Linked DNA regions of Arabidopsis thaliana. The protein of the gene in region 1 interacts with the protein of each later gene in a pairwise test. Each region holds a gene or a part of one and is shown in the gene's direction. Other genes may lie near its edges.

Evidence for each region. The genes of interacting proteins can lie anywhere in the genome.
Region 2: the proteins of AT5G27370 (region 1) and ARL interact in a protein complementation assay, tested with the Arabidopsis thaliana proteins (one large-scale study listed by BioGRID).
Region 3: the proteins of AT5G27370 (region 1) and AT1G65720 interact in a protein complementation assay, tested with the Arabidopsis thaliana proteins (one large-scale study listed by BioGRID).

The regions. Positions count from the first base shown.
Region 1 is NC_003076.8:9,665,653-9,668,386, forward strand, and holds AT5G27370 (inactive Serine/Threonine-kinase, putative (DUF679)), read left to right. Parts: upstream 1-1,658; coding exon 1,659-2,234; downstream 2,235-2,734. Other genes in the region: GSH2 (glutathione synthetase 2), read right to left, coding at 2,559-2,682. UniProt on the Arabidopsis thaliana protein: Involved in membrane remodeling.
Region 2 is NC_003071.7:18,235,094-18,238,726, forward strand, and holds ARL (ARGOS-like protein), read left to right. Parts: upstream 1-1,695; 5' UTR 1,696-2,243; intron 2,244-2,341; 5' UTR 2,342-2,632; coding exon 2,633-3,040; 3' UTR 3,041-3,080; downstream 3,081-3,633. Other genes in the region: AT2G44090 (Ankyrin repeat family protein), read right to left, coding at 3,589-3,633. UniProt on the Arabidopsis thaliana protein: Promotes cell expansion-dependent organ growth, probably via a brassinosteroids signaling pathway. Acts downstream of BRI1.
Region 3 is NC_003070.9:24,439,099-24,442,801, reverse strand, and holds AT1G65720 (uncharacterized protein), read left to right. Parts: upstream 1-1,728; 5' UTR 1,729-1,788; coding exon 1,789-2,331; 3' UTR 2,332-3,150; downstream 3,151-3,703. Other genes in the region: YSL7 (YELLOW STRIPE like 7), read right to left, coding at 1-163.

The DNA.
Region 1 (2,734 bases):
ATTTGTTCTGAATGAAAAATGTATAATTAGTTTATATTATTTCAAAAGTTTGTGCACTAATATATTATAGATTTATTTGAAAAAAGATCCGGTTGAAAAATAGAAAAAAGAAAATCCAAAATATTTCAAAATTAGTATGTAAAATTTATTGTTTAGATATTTCTAAATGTAAGGCATAATGATAATTATTTTAAATTAATTATTTTAGTTTAATTCATAGTAAATATTAATATTTGTAACATCTTATCTCGTTTTTAAAAATTTTAAAATAAATTTTCGTTTTATATTTCAAAATACTTAACCCAAAATTCTAAATTGAATTTATTTATCTATCACAAATTATGATTTTTTTATTCATGATATCAAGCAAGTCTTATGATTTTTTAAAATTTTAAAATAAAACTTAACTTCCAAAATGTTAGTTTAATAATATTGTATAATTTGATATCAAATCTAAGTTTTTCAATTTTTATTGGTTAACAAATTTTAAGAAATATATTTTATTTTTTCGTCTATAATTAATAGGAAAGAGAAAGTGAGTTTAATTTTGGGAAACTAATAATTACTTAAAAGAATATTACCAATTTTTATATTTAAATATATTAATTTTGTGATTACTATTGTATTCTTAATAAATTTATTTAAAAACACTAACAATCAATGGCATTCTATGTAATATTTTACCCTTCATAAGGTTGTTTATTTTCAATGATTTCCAATTAATAGTATAGATGCATCTCGCAACTGGATTTTTTTTTTTTTTTTTTTGTAAAGGATCTTCATGAAATTTCATCAGATGAAAATTTTACGGTTCGCTTAATGAGAAACGGTTCGATCTTTATGTGTGCAAGGTTAGTAACATCTTACATTTTCATACATATTTTCATTTCGTCATATTATTTATATAAAACAAGAATACAAGATATATATTTTAAATGAAAGACCATTAGACGTTACATGTATTTTGTGTTATAAAAATTGACGTATTTTTGTAAGACCGAGTCACCAAAATGAGTTAGGTACAACCGTGCAAGATATCGCTTAATGGACTCAATTTCATAGAACATGCACATCTCCAATTATTTACGTTTTAGCTCAAATATTATGTTTTTTTTTTCCTAAGATTTGTTTTTTCTTTCCCTGGCAGATTTGATTAATCAAATAATGCATGTGTGTGTGAACACGTAAAAAAATCGTGTCCCAACTTGTTTATGGCCATGCAAAAATAACGAATCGAATTTTGTAAAAAATAGCACTTTCATAAAAGTATTTTGACACTTTAAGATCTAAACACGAAATAAGAGCGTACCTCCACTTAATATCTTGATGCACCATAATTTCATTAACGACTAGCCAAAGTTATAAACCACAAACTAAGTTCCAATATATAAACTAACTTCTAACAAAAAAGGGTTATCCAAATGTGTATATCTATAGTTCTTTATTTTCTTTTGACAAAATGTGGAAATATATAGTAACAAAACTAAATATATATTACATATTCGGACACCAAATAAAACTCGACATCTTTAAGAAATGTATATAAAGACGCATCAAACATATCCTCACGCATGCATGCATTACGTATAGAAGAACATACAAAACACTCTTTCTCCACATAACATACAAACTTTCCTCACTTCCGATCAAATTACGAAATGGAGGCGTCGTTCATTAGATCGCTACCGTCTGCCGGAAACTTCGCCAACCTATTGCCGACCGGGACCGCCCTCATATTCGAAACCCTACTACCGTCTTTCTCCAATGGCGGCGAGTGCAACAACAAACCCGTCAATAAACTCCTCACCATTACTCTCATCTCCTTTTGCGCCGCGGCTTGCTTCTTCTCCTCCTTCACCGACTCATATGTAGGCCAAGATGGCCGCATTTACTACGGAATTGCCACCTCTAACGGTCTCCACATCCTCAACGACTATCCAGACGAAGGTTATGATCCAGAGTCCGGCTTAACGGCTGATAAGAGAGAGAGATATAAGCTCAGTTTTGTAGATTTCGTGCATGCTTTCGTGTCGGTTATCGTGTTCTTAGCGTTAGCCGTAGAGAGCTCGGATTTTCGGAGGTGTTTGCTCCCGGAGGACGATGAAAACAGTTGGGGTGGTCATTTTGTACTTATGATCAAGTACTTTGCTGTTATGGTGTTGACAATGGCAAGCTTCTTCTTTGCTATCTTTCCCTCAAAACGGAGAGGCATCGGAATTTCAGACATTCGTTGATTCATAACATTTATTTGTGTATGTACATATATGTGCCTATGGTCTAAATATGTTGCTATGGTAATAATCTTTATACCCCAAATTCCATGATTGATCTTATCTTATTCAATTCATGATCTTTATAAACGAGTAATCATCTCACACGGTCTAAAAATAACAATAAGCAATGTAGGCTTTGCGGTCCTGTGGAAAGAATTGTAAAGAGCTTTGCCTAGTCTTATTGATCTTCATGATTAATACACAAATCTTTAACAAGCAAGAAGAGAAGAAGAAGGAATAAACCAGAAGAAAAACTGATCAAGATGGTTGTGAATGTTATCCATCTCAAATCAGATATATGCTGTCCAAGACTCCAAAACCAGCTGCAACGCCGCCTTCATCTGATGATGCGATCTTCGTGCGCATTAGATAACCACTCTGCTCGTTTACTATAACTTCGTCTTTGCTCCTACATATTTCATTTAATCAAAGATTATGGCACAAAATTAAGTTGAGAATTA
Region 2 (3,633 bases), on another chromosome or scaffold:
TGGATAAGAGATTGCGCTCTCTGTATACGTTCTTATATATATCACTATAATCAAATATGGGTTTTCTATAAATCTGTAAGGCATTATAAACATATGTATCAATATATTCTTAACTGACATTTAGATTGGTATAAGCAATGTTATTTACCTACATATTATCTATTTGTTTACATAGGAACTGGTGGCATCGATCCTAACCATAAGATCATGAATACAAAAAATCAAAGATATCGAATCAAGTACATATCCACAAGATAATTTGAATATCTTTTAAGATCGGGAAGATATCACTATGGTGTATATGCTATTTATATAACTGATCAGTTATATATAGTTGTTAAACTTTGTTCTAACAATTTAAAAGTCTGCATCATCTTTTTATTGACGTTAATTAAGTTTTGTTTTTGTTTAAAGCGGGAGGTGAAGTTTTGTTGTAATTATGTCTACTTGAGCCATTATAATTGTAGAATAGTAATGTCATTTCCATTGGGAGTTTAGCTAGTAGTTGACGAATAAAACCATTTCTCCTTTGTAAAAAAAAGTAGAAAAGACGTAATCAATAGATGTTATACATGCGATTCATTGAATTTGGATAAATAAGTATTTTGGATTGAAAAAAAAATAAAAAATGAGTAGTGGATTTTGGTAAGCTGTCAATTGGTTAATACCAGAACGGCTGAAACTAAACTGCTTGCGAAAATTATCATGTCCCTCTTAATTAAACACCCAACGAAAAGTACTTATGAATATATCCATTAGATATTTTAATTATTACATTTTTAGGCTGTTAAACAAATAAATTATATCGGTTTACCTGAAAGATAATGAATGAAAAAAAAAAAATCTTAATATATTATTTTATGTGTTTTTAAAAATAATAAGCTGTCTTGTATTTTTAACAAATAGCATTTTTAATATAGTACGATATTTAATACTATATCACTTTTTTGTTTAAATCATACTAAACAACACCTAGCCCTTTTTAAAATAAATAATAATAATAATAATAAGACCACTTATGTATCCTTTATGTATCATGTAAAATACAAAATTCCCTAATTATATAAATTTAAGTTGGCATTTCTTCTGACTATTAAAAGCATAAAACGAAAGAGAAATAAATATTGGACCAACTGTCCCACTAAAAACGATAATATGATATAGCCACCACATGAAATGCCGAGAGGAATAACAATATGGGTCATCATCGGTCGATAACACATAGACAACATTATTATTAGGTTGGAAAATTTAATTAATTCACACACATATACATATACATATTATACAGTTCTATGACAAAAAAAAAGTGATAAATGTTGAATATATTTGTCAAACTAATTTGGTAATTCACCGAATTCAATCTATTGATTATTGCTATCACTTCTCATATTCAATTTTTTGTGCGCGAGGAATTCGAATCTTTAATTAGTACGTTTCCCCGTCCATAGTTTCAATAGATTACAACTCTAAATGATTATATAAAACAAACAAAACATTATCATATAGAACAAAGATTATTTGTGATAACCTAAAATATTTATCTTATCTTTAATTATTTGTTTCTAGTATTATTAATGACTGATACTGCTTTATTTATTTCAACCAAACAACTTTGACTATAGTCTACAATAATACACGATCAACGTTATAAAAGTTTGGATTCGTTTTAATTAAAAACCACCATTGAATATTCCAAAAGAAACTGAAACCTCCATCTCAAACAGAGGCTTACCCCAAATAAATTCCATCCCACGTCATCATCAGAGAAAGTGTCTAGGGGAGAAGAACCACTGTGATTGTGGAAAGAGAGAGAGAAGTGTAAAGTAATCAAATAGAGAGATTTCAATTTTGTTCAGACCTTCCAGAATAAGCAGCAACTTGCCTCTCACACTTGTCACCCCCAAAAGAGAAAAAAAACATTAAAATTAAAATCTTATCATTTTAGAAAAATCTGTAAATTCAGTGAACCTTCCTCTGTTTCCTGTTTCTTCTCTGATTCCACAGTCTTAACCCCAAAAACATTATATTTATTTCTCTCATTATCTTTTACCATCTATTTTTATACCAATTCCTTTTATCAAAACCACTCCCACTTTATTTCTTCTTCTCTGGTTTTCTTACCAAAAGAAACTTTCTTCGTCTTCCTCTGTATTTAAGCTTTAACACCCTGTTTTTGGTTTCCAACGTTCAATCTTCATCTTCTTCTCGCTGAAGGTGTGTTTGGCTCTAACGGTTTAAAGGTACTTACTTTCGATTCTTTTGATTCATTCTCTGCTCATGTTTTTGATTGAATCACAACGATTTACTGATCAAAACTTGGACAAATTTTCTCTTGCAGCTTTCTTGAAACACCAATTGAATCTTTTCTCTCTACCGGCAAAAAAAAAAGATTAGTCCTTTTAGGTCTGGAAACGCCAAGATCACTCGTTCTAAACCTTAGATTTTGTCTGCATTTCGGGATAATCATTTCATCGTCAGGGTTCTTCAACCAAACTACATTTACAGAAGAAGAAGAAGAAGAAAAGTTCGTTACTTTTTATGCGTTTGGATAAACAAACTCAAGTTTCTTCTTCATACATCGATCTGATTTTCCAGATCAAACTTCGAAAAGAGAAAAAGCCTTCTTTAAATGATTCGTGAGTTCTCCAGTCTACAAAACGACATCATAAACATTCAAGAACATTATTCTCTCAACAACAACATGGACGTGAGAGGAGATCATAACCGGAAAAACACGAGTTTTCGTGGTTCAGCTCCAGCTCCGATTATGGGGAAGCAAGAATTGTTTCGGACATTGTCGTCGCAGAACAGTCCAAGGAGGCTAATATCAGCGAGTTACTTCAGTTTAGAATCAATGGTTGTGCTTGTTGGTCTCACAGCATCTCTCTTGATCTTACCGTTGATTCTTCCACCATTGCCTCCTCCTCCTTTTATGCTGCTTTTGATTCCTATTGGGATTATGGTTTTGCTTATGGTTCTTGCTTTCATGCCTTCTTCTAATTCCAAACATGTTTCTTCTTCTTCCACTTTTATGTAATAAACGTTTCTTTAATTGAAGAAAGAAATCCTTAAACAAAGGGAGGTTTTGTCTATTGTCATTACATAAGGTTTCAGGGTAAGAGATTAATATTTCATTTGTAAAACTTGTTTTCTTGATGCAGAATTATACAACTATTTATATAAATAAAGAATGATTAATAGTTTCATGATTTCATTTTTCTCATGGTCTGAAGCAAAACCAGGATGAGAGATTGGTACAAAATGTAAGAAATTGAAAGGCTTTCATTACAGGAGAGGAGACCAATAAGAGTCTGAGACAGAAGAAGTGAAATAATATGTAGATGAAATAATATAAAAGGCTTTGATTATCTCTCCCATGGTTTAGGATGCATAAAAGACAGATAGAGAGACTTTTGACAAAGACATTCTCATAGCAAGTTTGTACAAGTCTACAAGAACCCTTTTTCATCATCTCACAACCTGGATCAGAATCCATAACTATAGTGGAATGGTTGTTTTTCAGTTCTTATTTTATCAACTATTTAAAACGAGTTGTGTTAACTCAGATGCTGAATCCATTGTTGCTCAGTGTAAAGAAGCTTTGACCAAAAAAAGAGGAAGGTGATGCTC
Region 3 (3,703 bases), on another chromosome or scaffold:
GTATGAAACTCACGATTAGAGCTCTGAACGTGAGCTGTTTTTGCCACGGCGGTGGGATTTCGTTACTCTCTTCGAAGATTCTCTCCACGGAGATTTCTTCTTCTTCGTTGGATTTAGATCCATTGTTTAGATCGTCGTCTTTCTTCGATCGTTCGACTTCCATAGCTGAGAGTTTTTGATTTGATTTGAGTCAGATCTGAGGAGGGGAACGAGAGAGGGAGAGATTTTATAGAGGAGAGGATCTGAAGAGAAGAGATCGGCGAGAGAAGAGGACGATTTTCTTGTAACTGAATGATTCTCTCTATTGTGTGAGTGAGAGAGAGAAGCGAATCTGTTTTAATATTTCTATATTTATAAGTCAAATGTGTTTTTTTTATAAATAATTAACCTACGTGCACGTGGACTATGGTGTGGTGTGTATACACAGTGTAAAATCTGAGTTTTTTCTTTGGTGTGGATTTAGAGTTAATTAAATTGATACGTAAATGGATTTTGGAATTTAGATTATGACATGTTTACGTGTTAAACGAGCCAATTATGACGGGTCGTAGATTGTATTAATCTTAACAGAATTAAGTTTTAGTTGCAAATGTGTTTTTTTGAAAAGAATTAAAATATTAAAATGAAAATACACGTAAATATTGTTTGAACATTTGATTTCAGAACAATAGTCGTTTATATAGTGAGTTGTTCTTCAAATTACTTTTAATTTCGGAGTACTTAACTATTAACCAATATTTTTTATAATTAAAGATTACAAGGGAATTTTACTTTTTCTACCACAATTTTCCCAAAAAAAAAATATTTCTATCGCTTTTCAATAGTACCAAATTATTTATGTGGAAAGACCAAAAAAAATAAAAACTATGTGTCCAAACGTTTACACCGATTTGACATTTTCATTTTTATGTTCTCTCACTACATTGTTAAAGACTCTAAACGTGAGCTGGCTTTGCCACGAAGGATGATCCTCATGGGCTCATGGCTGGCCTCAAAGATTCTATCATGTCATGTCGTGGCATTTGAGATCGTCATTTTTTTCCTTTATCGCTCTGTGACCGCTGCTAAATTTAAGTCTAACCTAGCTCTTTGTTTACAAGAAAGGAGAGGATTATTTTAAATAAGAGAAAAGTTGGAATATTCGAAAGTGTCGTGCTCTTATTCTATGGTACGAGACTATGAGTGACTAGATAGAATTTTCATTTAGATTCTCTAACCATAATAATTAGGTAAAAAAATCTTAGCTATTAATATTGACTAATAAATATAAAATGTGAAAGTTTGACTATACTATATTAATAAACAAATGGTTAACTTGATATTGACCATGAATGCATCATTAACTTGCTTAGAATAACAAAAATCTTATGAATTTATAACTACTAGAAGTTTGATTATATGCGAGGTGGGTTCAGACTATTCACATATTACACAAACTATTTGTGGTATTAGAACTTGTATAACTTGGACAAAATTCATATCAATTAACAATTAACCTATTGAAAATTAGATAAATAGAGAAATAAATCTATTGTTTGCTTATGTGAGTATAAATAATGAGATTTAGACTTAAAATAGTTAAGTCAAAATTAAATAATATTTTGGCACCTTTTATAAGAAAAGAAGATAAAAGGGACCTATATGATCAAATACAAAAGTAGAGGGGTTATTTCATAATAACACGTATCTTAGAAAATCTTTTTAATCTTCTTCGTTCACCGAATCTTCTTGGGTTAGGTTTGTCTTCAAAATCGTCAGAAGAAGAAGAAGAAGTCAAAGACGATAACAATGACGTCATCATCGTACCTCCGATTTGCGATCGCCGTCGTAGCTTTCCTCTCAATCACCACCATCACCACCGCACGTCCTTGCAAAACCTTCCTAATCTCCTCATATTCCCTCTCAATAACCCCAGAAAACCCTAACCTCGAATCCGATTTCACCTCCACACGATTCGTCACCGTTTTCACAATCCGTCGTCTAAATCCTCACCACGTGGTTCCTTTCTTCGTCAATCGTCGTCACGAGAAGCCACAGATCCAATCGGATCGTTCCCTCCCTTTGATCTCTGATAACATCAATTCGTTTAGAGATCGAACCAGAGATATTCTTAGCGTCGTCGTCGCGCTTTTGTTCGGTGTTGGTTGTGGTGCTTTAACCGCTGCTACTATGTATCTTGTTTGGGCTCTTGTTGTGAATCGTCAAAGCTATGATTTTGAGGAAGAAGAAGATGATTATGAGAATGATGAATCTGATGCTGCTAGCTTGAAGAAATTGGGTTATGTTAAGATTCCAGCTCCAGCTCCTGCTCCTGTGAAGGAAGCTGCTTGATTTGAGGTTGTGAATTTCAGTTTCTGCATATTATCATGATTTACGTTGTTGCTTATCTATGTTGTTGCGTACAAGTAAATTCGTCTCTGTTATGGATTTATCTAAACTTACTATACTCTAAGTATCAGTGTTTTTACGATTTGTAGTTGATGTTTCTTAGATATATATAAGTGTGATTATGATGTTACCTATGGATTTATTCATTATCTTTGATACCAATGTGACTAGTTTAGGAGCTTAATACTTAAATGGATTGATCATCAAAGGAACCAAGGTCGTGACTCGAGAAGTCTGTTTCTTGTTTTCTTTCTGACTTGCTAGAACCTAACTTGGTCGCAGGATATGTGTATGGTTCTCATAGCCCCATTTTGTGGTTTAATAGCTTTCATTCTTTCAAGCACTGATTAGCTAGAACCTAAGTAGGTCGCAGGATATGTGTCTGATTCTCGTTAACCAATCTGTGTTTTGAACAGCCTTCAAGCATTGGGAGTGTCTAGTTTTCTATTGCTTATGGTCATATGTGTGTATGGTTCTCATTGCCCCATTTTGTTGTTTAATAGCTTTCAAGCATTGCATACTTAAGGTAGTGTCTAGTTTCGGTTCCGTTTCTTGTAATCTTACTGACTAGCTAGTAGCTAGACTTTTTAAGTAGGTAGCAGGATATGGGGATGACTCTGGTTGACCCCAATCTGAGTTTTGCATAGCTTTCAGAGCATTGAGAGTGTCTAGGTTCTATTGCTTATGGTCATCTGTATATATGGTTCTTATTGCCCCATTTTGTGGTTTAATAGCTTTCAAGCATTGTGAACTTTAGGCAGTGTCTAGTTTCTGTTCTGTTTCTTGTTATATTTCTGACTACCTAGTAGGTAGACCCTTTTAAGTAGGTCGCAGGATATGTGGATGATTCTCATTGATACTAATTTCTGATTTGCATAGCTTTCAAAGCATTGAGAGTCTCTAGTTTCTATTGCTAATGGTCATCGTTGTGTATGTATATAGCTTAAAGGTTGATGTCTTGGATGCAGAGGAACAATTAAGTGCCTTATTCTCTCTAGTCTAGTAGTTATTTGCCTTGTAACAATCCTTTGTTATGTTACTATTTGATTTGAGGTTGTTTTATGTATGTAAAATCCAGTACCTAATTGTCTTGGTAATAGAATCTATAGATGTCTCAAAATCGGTCCGATTTTCGATTGTCAACACAAATGGTGCAAGATTTTGCTTTCTACATATATACTCTTTTCTTAAAAAACTACCTCAAAAGAACCTAATTGTCTTGGTACTCTTTTCTTAAAAAACTACATATATATTCAAAAAAACTACCTCAAAAGAAATTGTTTATCGTTTCTTTTTCAGTATTTTAGTTATCTGA